Linked DNA regions of Caenorhabditis elegans. The protein of the gene in region 2 interacts with the protein of the main gene of each other region in a pairwise test. Each region holds a gene or a part of one and is shown on either strand. Other genes may lie near its edges. The genes, in order: gap-3, cat-4, arrd-6 and F54D10.7.

Region 1 (4,599 bases), on a different chromosome or scaffold from region 2:
TCCTCCGAGTAATAATAATTGGCAAAAAAAAAGAAAAAAAGAAGAAGCCCGGAGGAGCAGGAGCTGGTACTTGTCCCATTAATTTTCCTTTTTTTCTTCAAACAATAAAAAACAGCTGAATTTTACGGCAAAACTGCTCTAAAAATGTAAAATTTCATTGAAAAAGTAGGCGCAGCCAATACACCATGTGGTGTTTTGGCGCTGTCTCCACACGCAAGTAGTGCCAGGGGCTGTCCCAATACGGTTTGATCTACAAAAAATGCGGGAATTTTTCGCCCAAAAAAATGTGACGTCAGCACGTTCTTAACCATGCAAAATCAGTTGAAAACTATGCGTCTCTTCTCCCGCATTTTTTGTAGATCAACGTAGATCAAACCGAAATAAGAGACACTCTGACACCACGTGTACACGTTTAAACTTTTCCAGCTGTAAAAAATAAAATTTTCAAAAAAAAAACATAATTTTTAATCACATGTCTTGTTATCACTGTGTTATCTGTTATCACAACGACAATTTTTTTCACGAAAATTCTTTATTTTTAGGTATTACCCAAAATATTTGAATAAATTCCAAAACTTTCCGTGTTCTCCGTCCTCCATTTCCCACTTTCACAAATGGTCCATCATCCGAACTTCCGGTGCTCTCTCTCTCGCTGTACAAGAGACACAGAAAACCGAGAGAGAGACAGTGATTCGTGGTAGAGACGCAGACACATATACACACACACAGAAAAGTGATCTGGTGTCTGTGTGTGTGTGTGTATATTGTGAGAAAGAAGAAGAAGAAGACTGCGTGGGTGTAATAATATGCGTCCTTTTCTCCCCCCTTCTCTTTCGATTTCTTTTCTTCAACTTTTATCACTTTATTCACAACCTATTTCCTACCGTTTACCACCTTTTTTTTTGAGGAAACTTTGAATTTTTATTGAAATTGTTCAAGCTTGATTCCACGGAGTTGAAATCTACCAAATTCAAATTCCACTGCCTTCCCCGGGTTTTTTTTCCATTTCGATGGGTTTTTTAAAAAGGAATTAAAAAAAACGTTTTGTTTTCAAATTAAAAATTTAAAAAATAGACTGAAAATTAGCAAAACTGGGATTAATCCCACGGAGTTGAAATCTACGGAGTTCACTTTCCACTGCCTCCTCCGGATTTTGTATTTTTTAAACATTTTCTAGTACTTTTCGATGAAACTTTGCATTTTTTCACCTAAAATTAAAAAAAAAGTTTTCTAATTAGCTGAAAACGATAAAAATAAGAAAAAAAAAACATTTGCGGAGTTGATATCTATGGAATTCACATTCCAAAATCAGGCCAAGACAATTAAATATTGTTTTTTTTTAGCTTCCAGCGCAAATTTTCGAATTTCCAAACAAAATTTTGGTTTAAAACTCTAATTTTCTACCTGAAAATCAGGTTTTTTCATCGAAAATCATCGAAAATTAATTAAAATTCAAATTTCCCTCCATTTCCCCAGTACGTACACCGTCACGCAAAATTGCGTACCCGTCCGATTTTTCGCATTTTTTTGAATTTGTTTTCCTGTTTTTTGATGAAAATCAATAATTTTTTGGCATTTTTCAGGTGCAAATGAAAAGTTATGCACTCAAGCGAGAATACTACACCTAACAGCAGCACGGAAGGGCCATTGTTTCTAAAAGTGAGGGCGAAACAAGTGAAAATCGAGGAAAAAAAGGAAAAATTAGAAAAAATTAGAAAAATACCATTTATATTATTTATTTTCATCGAAAATCAATTATATTTACAGTTTAAAATATTCTAAAAAATCCTAAGTTAAAAAAAAGGAATTGTTTTTTCGCAGACTCACACGAACCCAACACCGCCTGATATATCGCCAAACGATGTGTGGTACCATGGGGAATTAAACGAACACGATGCCAATCATTTGCTTCAGGTTTCTTTTGCGAAAAATTACAAAAAAAATGGCAAAAAATGGCAAAAAACCGGCAAAACATTCCAGGGCACATCTCCCGGCGCGTTTTTGGTTCGGCAAACTGGCCAGACGAGATTTTATCTGTCGATATTGGATCAAGACGGCTATCCGAAACATTTACCGTTGGTTTTTAAACATAAAAATTTAAAATTCAAATTTTTTTCAGCATCCGCCAACTCACCCCACCTCACTACTTTTTCGAAGGAAAGCGTTTCGAGACCCTTCGAGATATTGTAGATGCCTATCAGCTGGCTGTGATTCCAGTTCGAAAAGGAGGAATTATGCCGATTAATGGGGTATTTTTTTGCCCCATTACGGTTTGATCTACAAAAAATGCGGGAATTTTTCGCCCAAAAACATGCCAAATCAGTTGAGAACTCTGCCGCATTTTTTGTAGATCAACTTTATTCAAGCCAAAATAAGACACTCTGACACCACGTGTGATACACCATATTTGACGCGCAAATTTTTGCATTATTGGATAATTTGTTGGATTTTAAAGTGATTTTTCAGAGAAAAAAAAGAAATTTATAATATTGCGCGTAAAATAGAGTGTCTTGAGTCTGTAATCGAGTAGATCAAATTTAACGCGCAAATTTAATTTAAAAAAACAATTAAATTACTCCATGTCTTACGAAAACACAAAATTCTGAGAATGTGTATCACACAACATATTTGACGCGCAAAATATCTCGTAGCGAAAACTACAGTAACCCTTTAATTGACTACTGTAGCGCTTGTGTCGATTTACGGAAGTCAATTATTAATCAATAAAATTAAATTTTAAAAGAAATCTCAAAAATGGCAAAAAAATACAATTCTCATTGGTTTTTTCGTTATTTTTTGCCATTTTTGTGTTTTCTTTTAAAATTTAATTTTATAGATTAATAAATGATTTCCGTAAATCGACGCAAGAGCGCTACAGTAATCATTTAAAGGGTTACTGTAGTTTTCGCTACGAGATATTTTGCGCGTCAAATATGTTGTGTAATACGCATTCTCAGAATTTAGTCTTCCCGTAATAATTTATAATTTGTGCGTCAAATATGACGAATTGGTCAGAATATCGATATACACGAATATAAAGTTTTGTAGAATTATCTGTAATAGTAGTAGTTTTTGCGCGTAAAATATGGTGTATTGAGTCCGTAATCGAGTAGATCAAATTTAACGCGCAAACATGTCCACGTGGTCTCATTTCGGTTTGATCTACTTAGATCTACAAAAAATGCGGCAGAGTTTTCAACTGATTTTGCAAAAAATTCCCGCATTTTTTGTAGATCAAAACGTAATGGGACAGTCGCTGGCACCCCGTGCATGCCGGAATTTTAATATACCATAAAATTTGTTTCCAGGAAATCCAAGAAACCAAGTACCTATGCGTTAGACGATTCGAACAACGCGAAATCGACGAAATGAACTCGGAAATCGGTGATATTCTGTCAGTTTGTGAGACCGACGAGACCGGATGGATGTTAGGACGAAATGAGACGAGCGGTTCCGTTGGAATTATTTTAAGATCACATTTGGAACCTTTGGTAGGGAAAAGTAGGAAAGACTGGAAATTTCTAACTGAAAATTTGAAAATTCTAGGAAAAAACTGATGAAAAATTACAATTTTTAAGCAAAAAAATGTTACGTTTTTTTTCACAATTTTCTACAAAAAATTTAAAAAATTAATTAAAAAAGGCGAAATTGTGCTAATATTACGGGAACACAAAATTCTGAGAATGCGTATTGCACAACATATTTGACGCGCAAAACATAAAAATATCTCGTAGCGAAAACTACAGTAACCCTTTAATTGACTACTGTAGCGCTTGTATCGATTTACGGAAGTCATTTATTAATCAATAAAATTAAATTTTAAAAGAAAACACAAAAATGGCAAAAAAAAATTACGAAATGTCATTTTTGAGTTTTCTTTTAAAATTTAATTTTATTGATTAATAAATGATTTCCGTAAATTGACACAAGCGCTACAGTAGTCAATTAAAGGGTTACTGTAGTTTTCGCTAAGAGATATTTTTATGTTTTGCGCGTCAAATATGTTGTGCAATACGCATTTTCAGAATTTTGTGTTCCCGTAATATCTAATGTAGGCTTTGGCGTACCAAATACACTTATTTTGGTACAAAATCGCGGCGAGACCCATTTATAAATTGCCTACCTAATGCCTGCCTGCTGAAAAAAAAAACAAAAAAATTTTTTTTTTTTGGTCCAAGCTGGATTTCTCCAATTTATTAACACTATTTGAGAAAATCGATAAATCTCGATTTTCGGGGGCAGAAAAATCAATAAATTAACACTATTCAAGAAAATCAATAATTTGCCAAATTTTTGGAAAATTCGATAATTCACGTGGTGTCAGATTGTCCCATTACGGTTTGATCTACAAAAAATGCGGGAATTTTTTTTCCAAAAAAATGTGGCTTCTTCAGCACGCTCTTAACCATGCGAAATCAGTTGAGAGCTCTGCCGCTTTTTTTTGTAGATCAGCGTAGATCAAGAGACACTCTACAACACCGCGTGAAATTCTCAGATTCCGTGCTTTTACAGATCACAGAGGTGGCCGATTTGTCGGATCTACCGTACTTCTACGATACAGTATCCACGGACATGGTGCAATACAGCCCCATTGGCACA
Region 2 (4,028 bases):
ATATGCTGAAATTCCACAATGGACTGGTTGGCATCATGCCAAGAGATCAGATCGAGGCGTTGTTCCGTCAAGTACACGAAAACTTTAAAGCCAACTTACGAGAACACGTCACTGGAATGGGTATCACACCTCATGACCCTTTAAAATACGGGTAAGAATAAATTACTGAAATTTCAACTATAATGTACTATTTTCAGATATGTCACAAAAGATTACATGTTTTATCAACAAAATGTGAAAAACATGGAAAGTTGCCGTAATTTGGAGCTCGAGTCGCTTAATGACATTATGTTTGAATAGGACTTTTCTTTGTAAAATATTTATTTAATTTTCAATCTGGTTTATTTCTTGTGTATGATTGTGATTGTTTGACTAATTACGGTGGCTTTTATTTCACGCTTCTTCTGTAAACTTCCCCAATTCACTGGTCCTTCATTCCTAATTTTTTAGTTTGTGCTTCTGGGCTAGCTTTATCACTTTCATTTCCCAGTTAATTGTTTTTGTTTTTATTTATCTGGTATTTAGTAATTTATTGCATGTACAATAAAAGCATATTACAGTATCCAGGCAATGAACATGTTGTATGAATTTAAAAAGCTGAAGCATAAGATGTTAGTAGATTCACATGGAAAGTTATGAAAAGTTAGTAACAGTTAAAACCCAAAAAAACAAGTAAAAAAGGAAATGACTAGAATTTTTAGCGTTTGTTGATAAGATTAAGGAATTCTTCGCGAGTCTTTGGATCGTCACGGAATACTCCCAACATGCAGGATGTTGTGGTGGAAGCATTGATCTTTTGAACTCCTCTCATTACCATACACATGTGACTAGCTTCAATAACAACTGCAACTCCGGATGGTTGTACAGCTTGAACCATTGCGGTGGCAATTTGCTTTGTAAGACGTTCTTGGACTGAAATATTTGAACGTTTAGGTTAGGTTCCAATCAAAAATGTAATTTCTCAATTTACCTTGAAGTCTTCTGCTGAACATCTCGACTATTCTTGCCAACTTGGACAGACCAAGAACCTTCTTGTTTGGAATGTATCCAATATGAACTTTTCCCATAAATGGAACTAAATGATGCTCACAAAGGGAGAACATTTCAATATCTTTCACAATAACCATCTCATCGTGATCCTCGTCGAATACTGCCTCGTTGAGGAGCTCTGAAAAATGAAACTTTGAGCTTTAACGTTGTATTGCTATAACTGACCATCAAGTTGATCATCGTATCCCTTTGTGAATGCCATCATTGCTTTGGCAGCACGTTCTGGAGTTTTCAGAAGTCCCTGACGATTGATGTCTTCTCCTGAATTCCCAAAATCAGTCAACGTGGGAAAATGTATTTTGTTTTCATTTTTTCCCTTATAATCAACGGACACAACCTATTTTTTTCTGATTTATGTTATAGATATATCAATTGAAATCACAAGTTCCTGATGATGTGCTAGGGTACCTTGATTGCGTGATGTAATAGATTACAATTTGTCATGAGTCTTTAAATTAAAACAATTTTCGATCTTGATTTTTGATTTGAGAGTGGAATATATTGAACTGAACTTCCTTCCAGACAATAACAACTATCAGTTATAGATCATCGACTTTCAAAACATCTTGGTCAAATTTATATTTGGGAAAATATTTATCAATATTCTTTGAGTCACTGATAATGAATAAATGCTAAAACATTATAATCTCTAGAATGAATCAAAAAGTGTGTTGAAATGTTTATCGAAACCAAAGTTTTCCTAATTCTGCTGACGTAAACAGTTGACAGTACGTTTTCAGAACTCTATAATCTATTCTTAAACAGCTTATTTTAAATTTGTTGTTGATCGACTAATACTTTCCGAACCAAAGAATCACATGAACTCACCGACATGTTGAATGATGCTCTGATAGGCATTGCACATTGATTTCAAATGATCTTCCTTTGGAATCGTTCCGTTTCTTTTCTTCATCTCAACTTTATCGTCTTCGGATCCAACACTTGCGGCGTCAGATGACAAAAATCCGCTTTCGTTCTCAATTCTGGACATTTTGATATTATGATGTTGATAGAGTGGGTAAAGCCTGAAAACATTGATTGAGTAAGTGAGTGAAATAAGGTGATATTGAAAATGAGCCGTGGGTAAATCTTAAGAAAGCTGAGAAAGCGTAGGCGACAAAAAGAAAGGATAGACATTCAAATAATTGCCGGATGAAACCGAATATGTGCAATGTCCAAGCAAGAAAGAAGAAATTACGAAAAAAAAAGGTACAACACGTCATGTATTATGAAAGGTATTCTGGGAAAAAATAGGCAAAATGAAGGGACAGAAGGAAATCAATCTAGTCGAATGGATAGACTTCATCATCTTTTCCCACTTATGTGAAAAAATGAGAAAAAAAGAATAAGAAAATAGCAAAAAATCGAAAAAGAAACGGAAGACGTCGTCCCATACATCAATCGTTTTCCGCCATTCCTTCATGGCAGCACTTCTAGGTATTCAGGAAAATGTGGAGGAAGAATAATTTATTTATGCAAACAAAAGGAACATGTAAAAAGAAAATGAAACCGATTGATTAGGTGGATAGGCGCAACAAGAAAAGAAAAAGTGGACTGGTCTGAGGAGATACAGAGAGAAGGATCGTAAATCAGCGAGGAATGATATAGACCTTCACTCACGTGGACTTCTAGTTCACTATCAGTTTTGTTGCCGAAACTTTGGCAGATTAATATCTACAAGTTACTCTTTCATGCACTACAATCGAAAAAATTGAGAAACTTTATATTCAAAACGAAATTTGGAATTTATCAAACTTCACATATATTTCTCACGAAATTCATCAAATGGTCCTCCTGGGAAGTTATTTAAAAACAATAATAGGATCACATGTGGTAGAATATACTCCTCCTATTTTTAAAACTCATCACACCTAATAATATTACTCATCGAAACAACCAATCTGAAAAATAAACTAGATTCTGGCAAAAAAATTACTAATGAGTTTAGTACAACACAGAAACCGTGTTAAACTCTCATATATACTGCCAACAGCCACAAAAATAAAATACAATTTCTAATATTTCACCATGTCAAAAAAGTAGGACCTCAAATTTGGGAACGATTTCATTCAACAGTTTCGGTTTTCAAAAATTGTAAAATTTTAACTACTTTCCTTTCTAAGTCATCATCAGGTGGAAAAATGAGAAAGTAAAGAAAGAAAATGAAAAGAATTGAGGGGTCTAAAGAAGTACACTCACTTTCTTCTATTCTTCTACTTAACTACCTACATAAGAATTTCGTTGAAACAGTTAAAGCTAGTAGAAAGATCAAACCCACGCCTTTTTTTTCCCGGCAGACTCGATGTGTTTTGATGACATTCACACGAAATGACGAGAACGGTTCCAAAATCAGCTGAAGATGAGGGAAGAGGCGTTTCGAACTTGTAAATGTTTTCCTAGTTTTCTAGTTCTTTTTCATCAGATATCGTTTCTTATATTTGCGATTTCTGGGCTGATTGGGTACAAGTTGGGAGGAGGTGATGACGAATGAAAACAAGAAAACTTGAAATACTATTTTGTTATGATCAGGATTTTTTGGGTTATTCGAAGTCTCTCATAACTTTTGGTTCTTCAGAGTTAGAGATTGAGAATCAAAAAGAACTATTTGAAAAAACTGAGCTATTGTCAATATTCTTGAAAAGTAAAAAATTAAAATCGAAAGTTGTTACTGAAAAGTACTGCCAAATAATACCGTAACACTCGTAGAGGAAGTTCCCCGCAATTTATTAGGTTGAACTATAAATAAGATAAGAGCATAAGCAAAATGCCGCCGCTAATGATGTACTACCAATTGAAGCCGCAATTTATATGGAGTTTATAATCATTGCATGATAAATTGGTTCAGGAACTTTGAATTGTCACCTTTGAGATAAGATCGTGCACAAAAGGAGTTTGCGGGATTAATTAAGTGACGGCGATTACGTCAGAAACATAGAGAACAAGTAACATAGAGAGTGTCCTAAGGAATACGGTTTTCT
Region 3 (7,805 bases), on a different chromosome or scaffold from region 2:
AAAAAATATTTTGCACTTATTTTGCCATTTGATAGTTTTTTGCAAAACCAAAAAAAACCTAGATATACAAAATATGACATGTTTTCTTTTTAAGCTTCAATTGAGAATATGAAAAATTTTAGATTCTTAAAATTGTATATGTACATTAAAATCTCTGCACGACTCTGCAAATGACATTTCTAAAACCGGCTCACTCACTTGTGCTCGAACACCACACATGACATCATCTTGTTCTCGCCCAAAAGTCCCTTTTCGACAAACACCTCGACGTGCTGCACAAGACGGATAACGAGGCTTTGCGCCGTGGATTGCCTGTTCTCAATCTGGGCTCGGACACGAATGTTCTCGCCGCACACGTACGCCGTCCGCTCCAGAATTATTCGCAGTGCGAGCGCGCCCCGCTGGCAACACCAGCAACAGTTCACTTTTCGATCTTGAGCTGATAATGGGCTTAAATATTTCTCTTCCATACTGTCGATATGTGGACCGATTATCGTAAAATATTTGATTCCCTGAGGAGATGATGCATATGGAATGTCAATTATTACCTGGAATTTTAAAATTAACTGTACTGATTCTACTTCTGAAATATGTATGTAATACCTTGAAATAATATCGAATTGTACAATGCCTACTCTCCAATGAACACGGTAATGAAGATTGTGGGAGGTCAAAGTTGAAGGAAAACTGATGAACTCCGCGAGCAAGAATTGGGACACTGTCTGATTCATCGCTTTTATCTGGAAATTCTGGTGTACGTTAAAAGAAACGTCTAGAAAATCAATAATTATTTTGAATTCAGATTTAAATTAATTTTCATGAACAAGATAAATTTTACAGATTTTCACAAATTTGGTCACGTAATCTGAAACAACCTTTCAAGTACTTTTTCACTACTTCACTTTGAAAGGATACATCTGGGCTTATTTTTGAGATATCAATAAGTTATCAACTACAAAACGATAGAAGGAGGAAAAACAAATATTTAGTTAGTTGACAATTTTTGTATAGGTCGAACGACAACTGGCATATGTATAGGCTGCCAAAGTTGAAGTGTCCATTATCACTCACCTTTCCCCCATAGCAACTGTTTCTCATCCAGCACATATTGATCGTCTTTCAACGTCCTCCGTTCACCAGACTTGACCACTTTCAACGTGGCATGCACTTTGCCACGTAGCAACACCCGAATACCACGTATTTTGATGTTCTCCGTGTTCTCCAACAGCACACTTCCACTGATTGTCTCGCCGGCGTAGTAGACGTCCTGAAATACATACATACATACGTTGTGTGGGGAGGCAATATTTTTGTTGTTGTTTGTGTTTTCCAGCTGTTTGGACTTTTTCTCGCGCGACAAACCTTATTGAGCCTAATGTCGAAACTGGATATGTAGTCCATGCCGGATTTCTGCTCCTCAACCTGGAAGTATTTTTATTAAAAATTAGAAAATTAACACTTTTTGGGCACAAACCAAAAATAATTTCATTCAGGAAAAAAGTAACTCGCACTAGGAATTAAGCATGGTTCAGGTATGTTCAAAATATTCAATGTTTTCGTTTTAGGTTAAAACAGGTTTTTTTGTTAGGATTTCGATGGTAAGCACAGTTTCAGGGCCTGGCGCCTGCCTGAAACCTGCCACTCTCGCGGTTGAGACGCAAGGCAGGCGTAGGTCCCCTTAAGGCCAGACAGGCAGGTAGGTTTCGGTGCCTACATTGAAGCCTCAGGAAAATGAAATAATTTGAATTTGAATTTTCAACGATAATTAATTATATTTATCAGGTCATATGAAAAAAATGTGTTTTGACAATTTGTTTTTGAAAAAAAACTGGAAATTGTGAGAAAAAAAAAGAAGATTAATGGTATTATGGCACGCATAAGATCTAGAAATTTCTTCAGAGAAGACGTAAAAAGTGAAGAATAAGAAGAAGAAAAGGTTTTCTGTGGTGCACGGAGCATCGTAAAGTCGAATCGGAAATGGAAATGAGAGTCACGGTATCTGGTGCTGAGTACTCTCTAATCGGAGAAGAAGAGCCATAAAAAACTTTGAGCTTCTTCTCCTTTCTCTACCTTTCTCTCTCTCTCTCTGTCCTAGTTTGCTAGAAGAATAAGAATTGTTCTTCTGATGCCTCATCTCTCTTTCTCCTCTAATCTTCTGGAATTGTATCTGTCGGAGATGTGGACGAATGGGAGGAAAAAAAAGGAAAAAGAAAGAAGAACTAAACAAAAAGATAGAGATATAATCCCACATTACATACTTAGCCGCGGGAAAAAATATTTTAAAAAATATTTAGAATCTGTTCATGTCCCATCATTGTGACTGGCACTTTAGATGTTTCTACACATTTCAAAAAATAGGAAACTTGGACAAAGGTTACCAACAAAAATTCTGTAATTATTAAATTATTTTTAGGAATATTCCTGAGAAAATACAATAACTTGAAGATTAATTTATTATCAAAATTTTGGAAGCCAGCTTCTGAAACAAATAAGGGTCTCTAAGATGTCGGCCGCAGAATTATGGCAATATTCTTGTTGCTTTGCTCTTGGTTTTTAAATTATACTCATTTAAATAATTTGCAAAACTTCAATAAAAATTGGCCCCTGTAAGCAGTAAGCATTCCGCAAAAAATCATATTTTGGATTTTTGATAATCTTTTTTTGCATAACTCACTATAAAATTCTGTCAAAACACTACAAAATCAGAAAAAAATGTCCTCGTGCTCAGTCACAGCCTACCTACGAACAATATTCCCTTCATCAAATATCCAAATATCACAAGACAGGCTGAATCAGAAACTCCAATTTTTCTCAAGAGAAATCAAAAATTCACAAAACGAATTTTAATAAATTTCCGAGACGCTTTCCCAGAGAAGGGAGAAATTATTATCAGGTGACAAAAAGTGAAGGTTTACCTTCAGGATTGTTATGGAATTGAGATTTGATTTTAGACATGTTTTAAATGGTATAAATAAATATTTCTTAACATTTTCCAGTTCACCAAAAATATGCTGATTTTGGAACGAACCTGCTGTATTCGAATCCTGAGAAAAAATGCACTGAAGTTATTTCAGACTGAATTTTCAGGAGGTAGAGCTTAAATACTTGTGTTAAACCATTGAATACAAAAATTTCCAAATAAGACAGACTTCGTTCTGAAGTCCCAATTTCCTACTTGATTGAAAACGATAGAAAACTTGGAAAAAAGTGCATCTTTGTTTATGGTGACGTGAATTATAGATGCGCGCCGATAGGAAATTGCAATGCTCCGAAAAAAAGAGCAACGCGAAAAAAATAAATTGAAGATTCTGTAATTGCGGGCAGTGAGGGTGGATGCAGAATAGAAGGTCAATAGAATGATAAATAGGGAGAGGAAAAATTATTGGAAAATTAAAGAAAAATTGAATTGTATTTGAGTAGCAGCTATACAGTAACTCCTAGAACTTTCTGGTTTTTTTGGGCTGTTCAAAACTGAAAACTGAAACTCATGAGGTTCACCAAAAGGCGAAATGGTAACTCTTGGAATTTGAATCCAAATTTCTTCGGTCCAATGCTCATTTACCAAAAAAAGTGTCAGGGAAAAAAACGGAAATAGCTAGGTCAAGATATATAGAGACAGAGCGGATATACACGTACATATGAATGAGGAACGAAAAAGCAATAGAATGAGATGGAAAAGAAGAAGAAGGCGTAAAGAAGAGAAAGCAACACAATATCTCTTGTTGGGTGTTTGAGAGCCCCCTCTCCGCCTTTTTGCACACTATTTCCGGCAATTAATGAAGCAGGTAAAAAGGGCAGAAGGCGTTGGAGAGCCTGGGCAAAATGTGTGAAATGAAGTCGAAACTTTTTGGAGCAGCAGCACAGCTCTCGACGACAGCTTCTTGTGTAACATGATACTGGAGAACGACTACTTTGAGTGGATCGAGAGAGAAGGTTGACAAAAGTGGAAGAAAAGGGTTTTTGGGATAAAGGAGATTAGCTGGATATATGGGTAGAGATCTATCGGATTATTCTATAGTGATTACATGATACTATCAAATGGCGGGTATTTACGGGTAAAATCACTTGTTTTCAGAAATTGCAGGGACTTGATTCATTGTGTAACAAAACTATAATATTTGGAATCATTTTAAAAATTTCTTTTTTTTTTAGAATTACGAGTTTCAACGGATTCAAAGGTGTTGAGGCACCGGTCGGCTTCTGCTACTTGCCTGGTCAGAAAAGAAAAATGGGGATTGAAGCAGGGGTGGGCGGCAATAGACGTTTGGCAAACTTTTTTGTCGACAAATTTGGCAGTTCGACAATTTGCCCGTTTGCTTTGCTGGAAATGTTCAATTCCGGCAATTGGCCGATTTGCCGATTTGCGAAAAAAAAATCGTTTACCTGGTTTGAATATCGGTCTCAAGGACCTTTGTGAACTTCTACACAAAAAGTTTAAAGTTTCACGGTTTACAATCTGGAAACTAATACCAATGAGTTTATCAATTTGCAAGCATCAAGTCCGCCGAAAATATTTTAGTATTTTCCTGGCAATTATTTTGTTTCTGGGATTCTGTAACTGTACTATTTTAAAAATTTTCTTCTGGGATTTCTCTTTTATTTTGAAGGGAAATCTTGGGTCTTCTAAGAAAATGTGCGCTAGTATTTATGTTGCTATTGGATTTTGCGATTTCGGAAGTCTTTCCGATTTTACAAGAAATTTTCAAAAATGCAACAAAATCGCAACGTCGGTGCTCAAAACTGGAAACATCAAATTTTCCGGATGCATACCAGACTCCTCCTCCCATTCTCTCTCTCTCTCTCTCTCGTTTTTGCGATAGAAAATGTAATAAGCAAAGAGAGCTAAATCCATGGCAACGCGATAAATCTCATGAGACATGTCCCGGTCAGGATGAGATGGAAAACCAGTCGACAAAAAAATAGAAGAATTGAAAGAGAGAAAGATAGAGTCGAATACAATTTGTAAAGACCCGAAGAGCATGTATATGTGTGTGACGAAAAATAAGATGAAGACGAAGAATGAATGAATTTTATAATGAACACAGTAAACATATAGTGATTACTCATTGTCAATGAGCACAGTGGAAGAAAAAATGTTTTTTTGGAAGATGGGATGGAACAAGTGATTGTTAGAAAATATTATTTTATTCCATAGTTTTCAAAAATTAAGAAAAAACCGACGTAAGCCCTTTTTGGGGGAAAGTTTAAAAATTCGAACTAAATTCGAAACTTTCGAACATTCGAACTTTTTTTTTATTTTGAAAATTGTTATTCTGTTCTAAATTACTTAAATGAAGATCAACTCTTTGAGTAGATTTCCCTTAATTTTCTCTGAAGAAAGCCAATCAAAATCAGTCAAAATTTATCAAAATTTGTTCCAAAACTTGAAAAAAATTAGGCGATTTTTTCAATTAATTAACTAAGTTTGAACTGGATTAGAATTATTGTAAAAGTGTAAAAGTTCAAAAGAAAAAATTCCATACAGTATCGAATCTAAAAATATTTTAGAAAGTTGAAATTTGAATGGCTTTTGCTCCAAAGCTTTAAAAAATTATATAATAGTGATTTATCAGAATCTTCTATTTGTGTGCAATTTGAGACTAATTAATTTTCTCAAATTTCAGACAATTCCAAAAATTGATTTTAAAACATTTGAGGAAGTCTTTCGTAGTTAACTATAGTTGATTATCTGCTTTTCAAATTAAACCAATAGCAACTAGGATATGAGCACTCAAAAACGAAAAGTGAGGGTACAAGACAAATCGGAAAAATACAGTGAACTAAAAATTTGATTTTTCAAGTATTAGAAACCGGATTTGTTTTGCAGTTTTGCGAATAAAATTGAGTTCACATAGTGTGAAATAAAACGAAAATTTTCACAGACAAAATATGCACGAGAATGAATGAAAAATTGGTTGGAACGAGAAACAGGAAAGAATGCCCTTTTTGCTCATTTGATGAACGTTCCTCTTGGGATCTGACCTGGAAATAGTGCTTCTCGAGTAGCGTACTGATCATTGTTTCCTTCTTTTCTTCAGCCATATCCTCCTCCTGATTTCCTTCACGTGTGTGCCTCTATTTCCAGCTTGCTCTCACCCGGCTTTTTTCTAATCAGATTGAGTACTTCTTGGGACGAATAGGGTGAAAAGGAGTGTGTGGAGGAGCAACAAAAAAAGAGACTATGTAGTGCAAACAGCACTCTTCGAGATTTATGTCGACTCGGACTCGACCCCATGGTCCCAGTGGGAAATTGAGCAAAAAGCGCGGCAATGAGGAGCAATGGGCACACGCGTGGAGGATAGGCACGAGGAGTTGAAAAGCAGAAAAGAAGGAAGAAGTATCATCAAAAAATGGAAGTGTTTTGGCATGATTTTATGACGTATGTAGATGCAGCCATGGTAATCGATATAACTTCACAAATTACCAAAACTCAAGGAGAGACATTTTGAACTTAAAAAAAAGAAGAAAAGAAGGAAACAATGATGATGATCAAAATCTAGAGCTGAAGTTTCGAGAAATTTGTAGTTTAAAATAATTTCAAAACTACTCAAATTTACGAATCGACTCAAATAGCATAGCCGCCGAATTTCAATAAGCCCTCAACCTATATATGCCCTAGACAGGTGATATGTTAAACCGATAAGGTTGGTGATTTGTATGTATGTATTTCTGGCATTTGGCACTCTTTGCATACTAGATTTGTGGACTGACATAGAACTTCTGTCATCAACAACCCACGCACATTTGAGAATTGGAAAATTTTTGATTGAAATTTGAAGTTTGACAGAACCAGCAGGGCTTACAAGAAAATAAAAAATTAAAGGTATTATAATATTTGAAAAATGGAAAAATTGATTTTTAACAACTGTTATTTATGTTTGATACTATAAGGTTAATTGCAAAAAAATGCAAAAAAGTATAAAAGTGAAGAAAAAAATTACAAAAACCTATTGCCCGAAAAAAAATGTGGTCGAAAAAATTGAGGGCACTAAAAATCACAAGCAAGAATATCAAATAAAATTTTTTCACATGTAAAAAATTATGCTCTTGCGATTTTAATTATTTATGTTTATGAAATAATCGAAGAAATTACAATCTATCATATTATAATTCTATAAATTGTATCTAGTTTGTTGAACAAAGTTTTGGCAAATTACCAAAATTTGGAAACTGTGGTTTTTCAGAAATTTAAAAAATGTCGCATGGATAAACCTCTAAAATGTTTGACTACACATGCATTTTAAAAAAACAACACAGTTAGTGTCTAGAATAAATATCAAAAGTTGTTCTCTTATTTTTTAAAAACCTCTAGTCAGAAAACACATCCACCCACGCCATTAGGGAAAAAAAAGCTTCTTGATGAAATGCCATACACTTACTCACTCGTTCCAACTTGACAAGTTCGGAATGTGTAAATAAGGTTTATCAAACTCCTAGTCTTATAGCTTTTTGAAACCAGTTTATGTGACAATTATATAAATGTACAATTTGAGCTGAAATATTTAAAAAGCCAAGAAGTCAATTTGCTAAAAAGCTATATATGTATAAGAAAATCAAAGTCGGCAACACCAAAAGATCTCAAGATTTGGTTGACAGATTCTTGGTTATCAAGGAAATTGGAATTGAGAAACGAGAGAGGGACTGAGGAAGAGAAAGTCAGGTGCACAGAGAGTCCAAAAGTGGTCAGGAAATTAGAAGAGGGTAGAGCTCGGGTTGAAAATAAAAGAAAATGAATAGAAAAAGCAGAATGTGAGGACAAGAAATTGATGAAGAAGGTTGATGAGGGTGAAGAAAAAAAGAAACTG
Region 4 (3,408 bases), on a different chromosome or scaffold from region 2:
CTGAAATGACCTAAAAATTTAACAAAAAGAACATAATTTTAATTCTCACGTCAATTTTTTATTCGCAAGAAAACAATTGAAGCACTGAGCAACATGCCAAAAAATTTTACGTGAGAATTAAAATTATGTTCTTTTTGTTTAATTTTTAGGTCATTTCAGAGAAGGAATCAATTAAAATGAACACGAAATTCGTAAATAGCGTGTTCTCAGCTTTCTAAAAATATTTTTTTCGACCCAAAAATCGCAATTTGATTTTTTCGCCCATTTCTCGAGAAGCAAAAGTCCGATTTCATTTTTCGGAGCGAAGGACGATTTTGGAGATGGGCAGGATTTTTTGAAAGATTTTTTAGGACATTGTAGAGACCTCAAAAAAGTGATCATTTTTCAAAATTTCAAGTTTTTACGTTGGATATGAAGAGTTTTATGAGCGAAATTGGATTTTTTCGAAAAACGGTCTGTAACTTGGCGGAACATGAAAATATCAAAAATCTTAAAACTAATAAAACGTGGAGAAATATTTTTTACTTTTTATCCAACAAAATTTATCTTTTCAAATTTGATGGGCGTAGGGTTATGACGGGTACAGCAAAGGAGTTCTCAAAATTTTTTGTGATTTTTGGTAAAATGGCTTTGATGTCTCTACTTAACTCTACAAAAAGTTGGTGTATTGAGATAAAAATTAATGAATTAAAAAGAAAAAATATTTCTGATCATTTTGTTAGTTAAACATTTGTTTTCCAGATGTGTATTTTTCGAGATACGTCAGTTTGAAGATGCACAAAAAAAATCAATTTTAAAACAAATTAAAATCATCATTATTGGCAGCAGAGAGTCTCTGCTGCCAATAATGATGATTTTGGGGTGTGCGGCAAATTTGCCGAATTTGCCGAATTTGCCGAGCACGGCAAATTTCAAAAAAGTAGATTTGCCGAATTTGCCGAGCTCGGCAAATTTCGAAATTTGCCGCATACGTCAAAAATTTGACAGTACAATGTTGACTAAAACTGTTGATTTTTTCGCCAAAAATTTAGTAAAATGACAACAAATTGAGTTATTTTGATGTTTAAGCAGACACACTACACCTAACTTGTTCAGAAACCAGAGGTGTGTTAAGAATTCAGTAGTTTTGGTGCTCCAAAAAATATCAAAAAATATATAATTTTTCCGAGTTTGTTAAGCACGGCAAATTTGCCGAATTTGCCGAATTTGCCGTGCTCGGCAAATATTGGAAAAATAGATTTGCCGAATTTGCCGAGCTCGGCAAATTTTGAGATTTGCCGCACACCCCTGGCAGAGACGGTAGACGGCAAAGAAAGAAATGCTATCTGAGTTTGCCATCTTTAGAGTATGACCGGGACTTTGCAAAATGGTCTGGGCCGGAAAGGAAATGAAAACTCGAAATTTTTATTTAGTAACTGATCGTTGAAAGATCACGTACATATTAGATGACAAGTTGCTCCGCTCATATATTGAGTTTCTGCATTTTTCATCTGTAAGGCGCAGGACAACTACATTTTTTGTGGTTCTTTGTTTTAATAATCTTCAAAAATGCCAAAAAAAAATTGATCTCCCCGCCGCGCACCAATAAAGTGGGTCACTTGCCACGAGGCGATTTCCGATCCCCTTTTACAATCGGTATGCAGGGGAGAGGCTCATTCTCTCATTGATTTGTTTTTTTGTGTGTCCTTTTCCCGTTTTTCTTGTTATTTTAAAATTTAATTAAATTCCAGAAAATAACCTCTGCAATGCCCCCAACTGTTGGAAAATCTACCAATAAAGATGGACCGTCGGATTTGATGTCGGCGTTTGAAAATTTGCGATCTGAAACTGCTGGAATCAATAATTTCCTTGAGAAAGTTTGAATTTGAATTGTATCGGCCTTATTAATATTTATTCCAAATTCCAGGGTCCCACCATCGGTTCGATCACGTCCTTGAGCATTTCCAAATTTGACAAGTTTTGTGAAAATCAGGATAAAGTCAACCAGAAACTGATGCTAGCGATTCAGAAAATGTCCATCGAACGTTCGAAGCGTCAGAAGATCCAAGACGCTTTCAACAAAGAAATGCTCGACGCAATCAGATCTATGAAGAAGGCGTTTGCTCGGGAGAAGGAGGAGTTCAGCGATGATTTGGAGATTTTCAAGGAGGAGCTGTTTGAGAAGCTTGATGAGGATAATGAGACCTCTGAAGACGAAGATGAGGAGGAGGAGAATGATGTTTTGGATGCGATCAAGTTGCTCCAAACTGGACTCGATGCTATGAAAGAGGCACAGAGGGAATTTTTCAAGAAAGTGACTGAGGATACTCAAGCCATCCGGAGAAAGGTAATTTTATGAGATGATTGTGTTCCTTACTTGAGGCTTAGGCTTAATCTTAGGCATAGGCTTAATCTCATGTTCGGCAAACGGCAAATCGGAAACTTGCCAGAAACGGCAAATCGGCCAACCGGCAATTAACCGATTCGCCGAATTTGCCGACAAAAAAATTTGTCAATTGCCGCCCACCCCTGGCCCGTAAATTTAGCAAAAAAATTATTCAGATTGGCTCGAAAAACATAAAGTTCAATGTTATCCTTCACGGAAGCCGAATCCCGATGGAACTGGACTCCCTTGACACAATCTACACGGTCGGAATGGCCCTCCTGAAGCACGGTGGCCTCGCACTGCATCGCCAACGTCTCATGCTCAATGACAAGGAGCTTCAGTATAATCAAACTCTTGAGGAAGCTGGAATTAAGGACGGTTCTGTCATCAAGCAACATACTGATGAAAAGTGTGATGAAGATTGTGAATGTTGTTGTTAATTTATTGAACTTTATTGTTGAATGTGGATATTATTATTATTTGATTAAAAGAAAGATAAATGTTTTATTCAAAAAAACGTGAATCAATTAATTTTTCTGCTACCAATTAAATTCATTTCTCCAAATCTCGGCGACCATGTCGAATTTCCGCTCGGACAATTTGATGTCTGAATTCCAAAAACTTCGCATGGAGACTGCAGATATTGGTTTGGCTCTTGGAAAGGTAACACTTATTTTGTTAGCACCTAATAAATTCTACTTTTCCAGAAGCCAGAAAACTCGGGCATTGTATCCGATTCGCAGCTTGAGAAAGTCATTGAAGAGCAGACAAAACTCAACAAGGAAATCATGGAAGCCGTTCGAAAACTGGAAGTCGAGCGAAAGGAACATCAGGCAAATCAAGAAAAATTCAATAAAGCAATGATGGAGGCTTTTCAAAAACATCGTGATGAAATGAAGGAGAGCATCCATTAAGAACGAAATTTCTCGAAAACCAGAGGCTGCTGTACATGAAAATTTGCCGACGAACGACGCGAAAATCCTCTTCCAACTGACACGTGACGGCAAGCGCGAATGGAGTGAAGCTTTGAAACAGTTCCTATT

The links.
Region 1: the proteins of cat-4 (region 2) and gap-3 interact in a two-hybrid assay, tested with the Caenorhabditis elegans proteins (one large-scale study listed by BioGRID).
Region 3: the proteins of cat-4 (region 2) and arrd-6 interact in a two-hybrid assay, tested with the Caenorhabditis elegans proteins (one large-scale study listed by BioGRID).
Region 4: the proteins of cat-4 (region 2) and F54D10.7 interact in a two-hybrid assay, tested with the Caenorhabditis elegans proteins (one large-scale study listed by BioGRID).

What each region holds. Positions count from the first base shown.
Region 1 is NC_003279.8:2,007,480-2,012,078, reverse strand, and holds the start of gap-3 (SH2 domain-containing protein), read left to right. Parts: upstream 1-1,553; 5' UTR 1,554-1,599; coding exon 1,600-1,659; intron 1,660-1,821; coding exon 1,822-1,914; intron 1,915-1,980; coding exon 1,981-2,075; intron 2,076-2,119; coding exon 2,120-2,249; intron 2,250-3,308; coding exon 3,309-3,491; intron 3,492-4,512; coding exon 4,513-4,599.
Region 2 is NC_003283.11:10,562,927-10,566,954, reverse strand, and holds cat-4 (GTP cyclohydrolase 1), read right to left. Parts: upstream 2,076-4,028; 5' UTR 2,042-2,075; coding exon 1,879-2,041; intron 1,312-1,878; coding exon 1,216-1,311; intron 1,169-1,215; coding exon 971-1,168; intron 913-970; coding exon 698-912; 3' UTR 516-697; downstream 1-515. Other genes in the region: vps-54 (Vacuolar protein sorting-associated protein 54), read left to right, coding at 1-151, 198-300. UniProt on the Caenorhabditis elegans protein: Involved in serotonin and dopamine biosynthesis that affects movement, mating behavior, foraging behavior, and cell migration.
Region 3 is NC_003280.10:11,141,134-11,148,938, reverse strand, and holds the start of arrd-6 (Arrestin C-terminal-like domain-containing protein), read right to left. Parts: upstream 6,043-7,805; coding exon 5,983-6,042; intron 3,097-5,982; exon of another isoform or gene 3,029-3,096; intron 1,746-3,028; exon of another isoform or gene 1,521-1,745; intron 1,423-1,520; coding exon 1,363-1,422; intron 1,268-1,362; coding exon 1,072-1,267; intron 741-1,071; coding exon 604-740; intron 549-603; coding exon 199-548; intron 1-198.
Region 4 is NC_003280.10:3,819,619-3,823,026, reverse strand, and holds F54D10.7 (Ubiquitin-like domain-containing protein), read left to right. Parts: upstream 1-1,730; 5' UTR 1,731-1,745; coding exon 1,746-1,856; intron 1,857-1,906; coding exon 1,907-2,326; intron 2,327-2,541; coding exon 2,542-2,805; 3' UTR 2,806-2,878; downstream 2,879-3,408.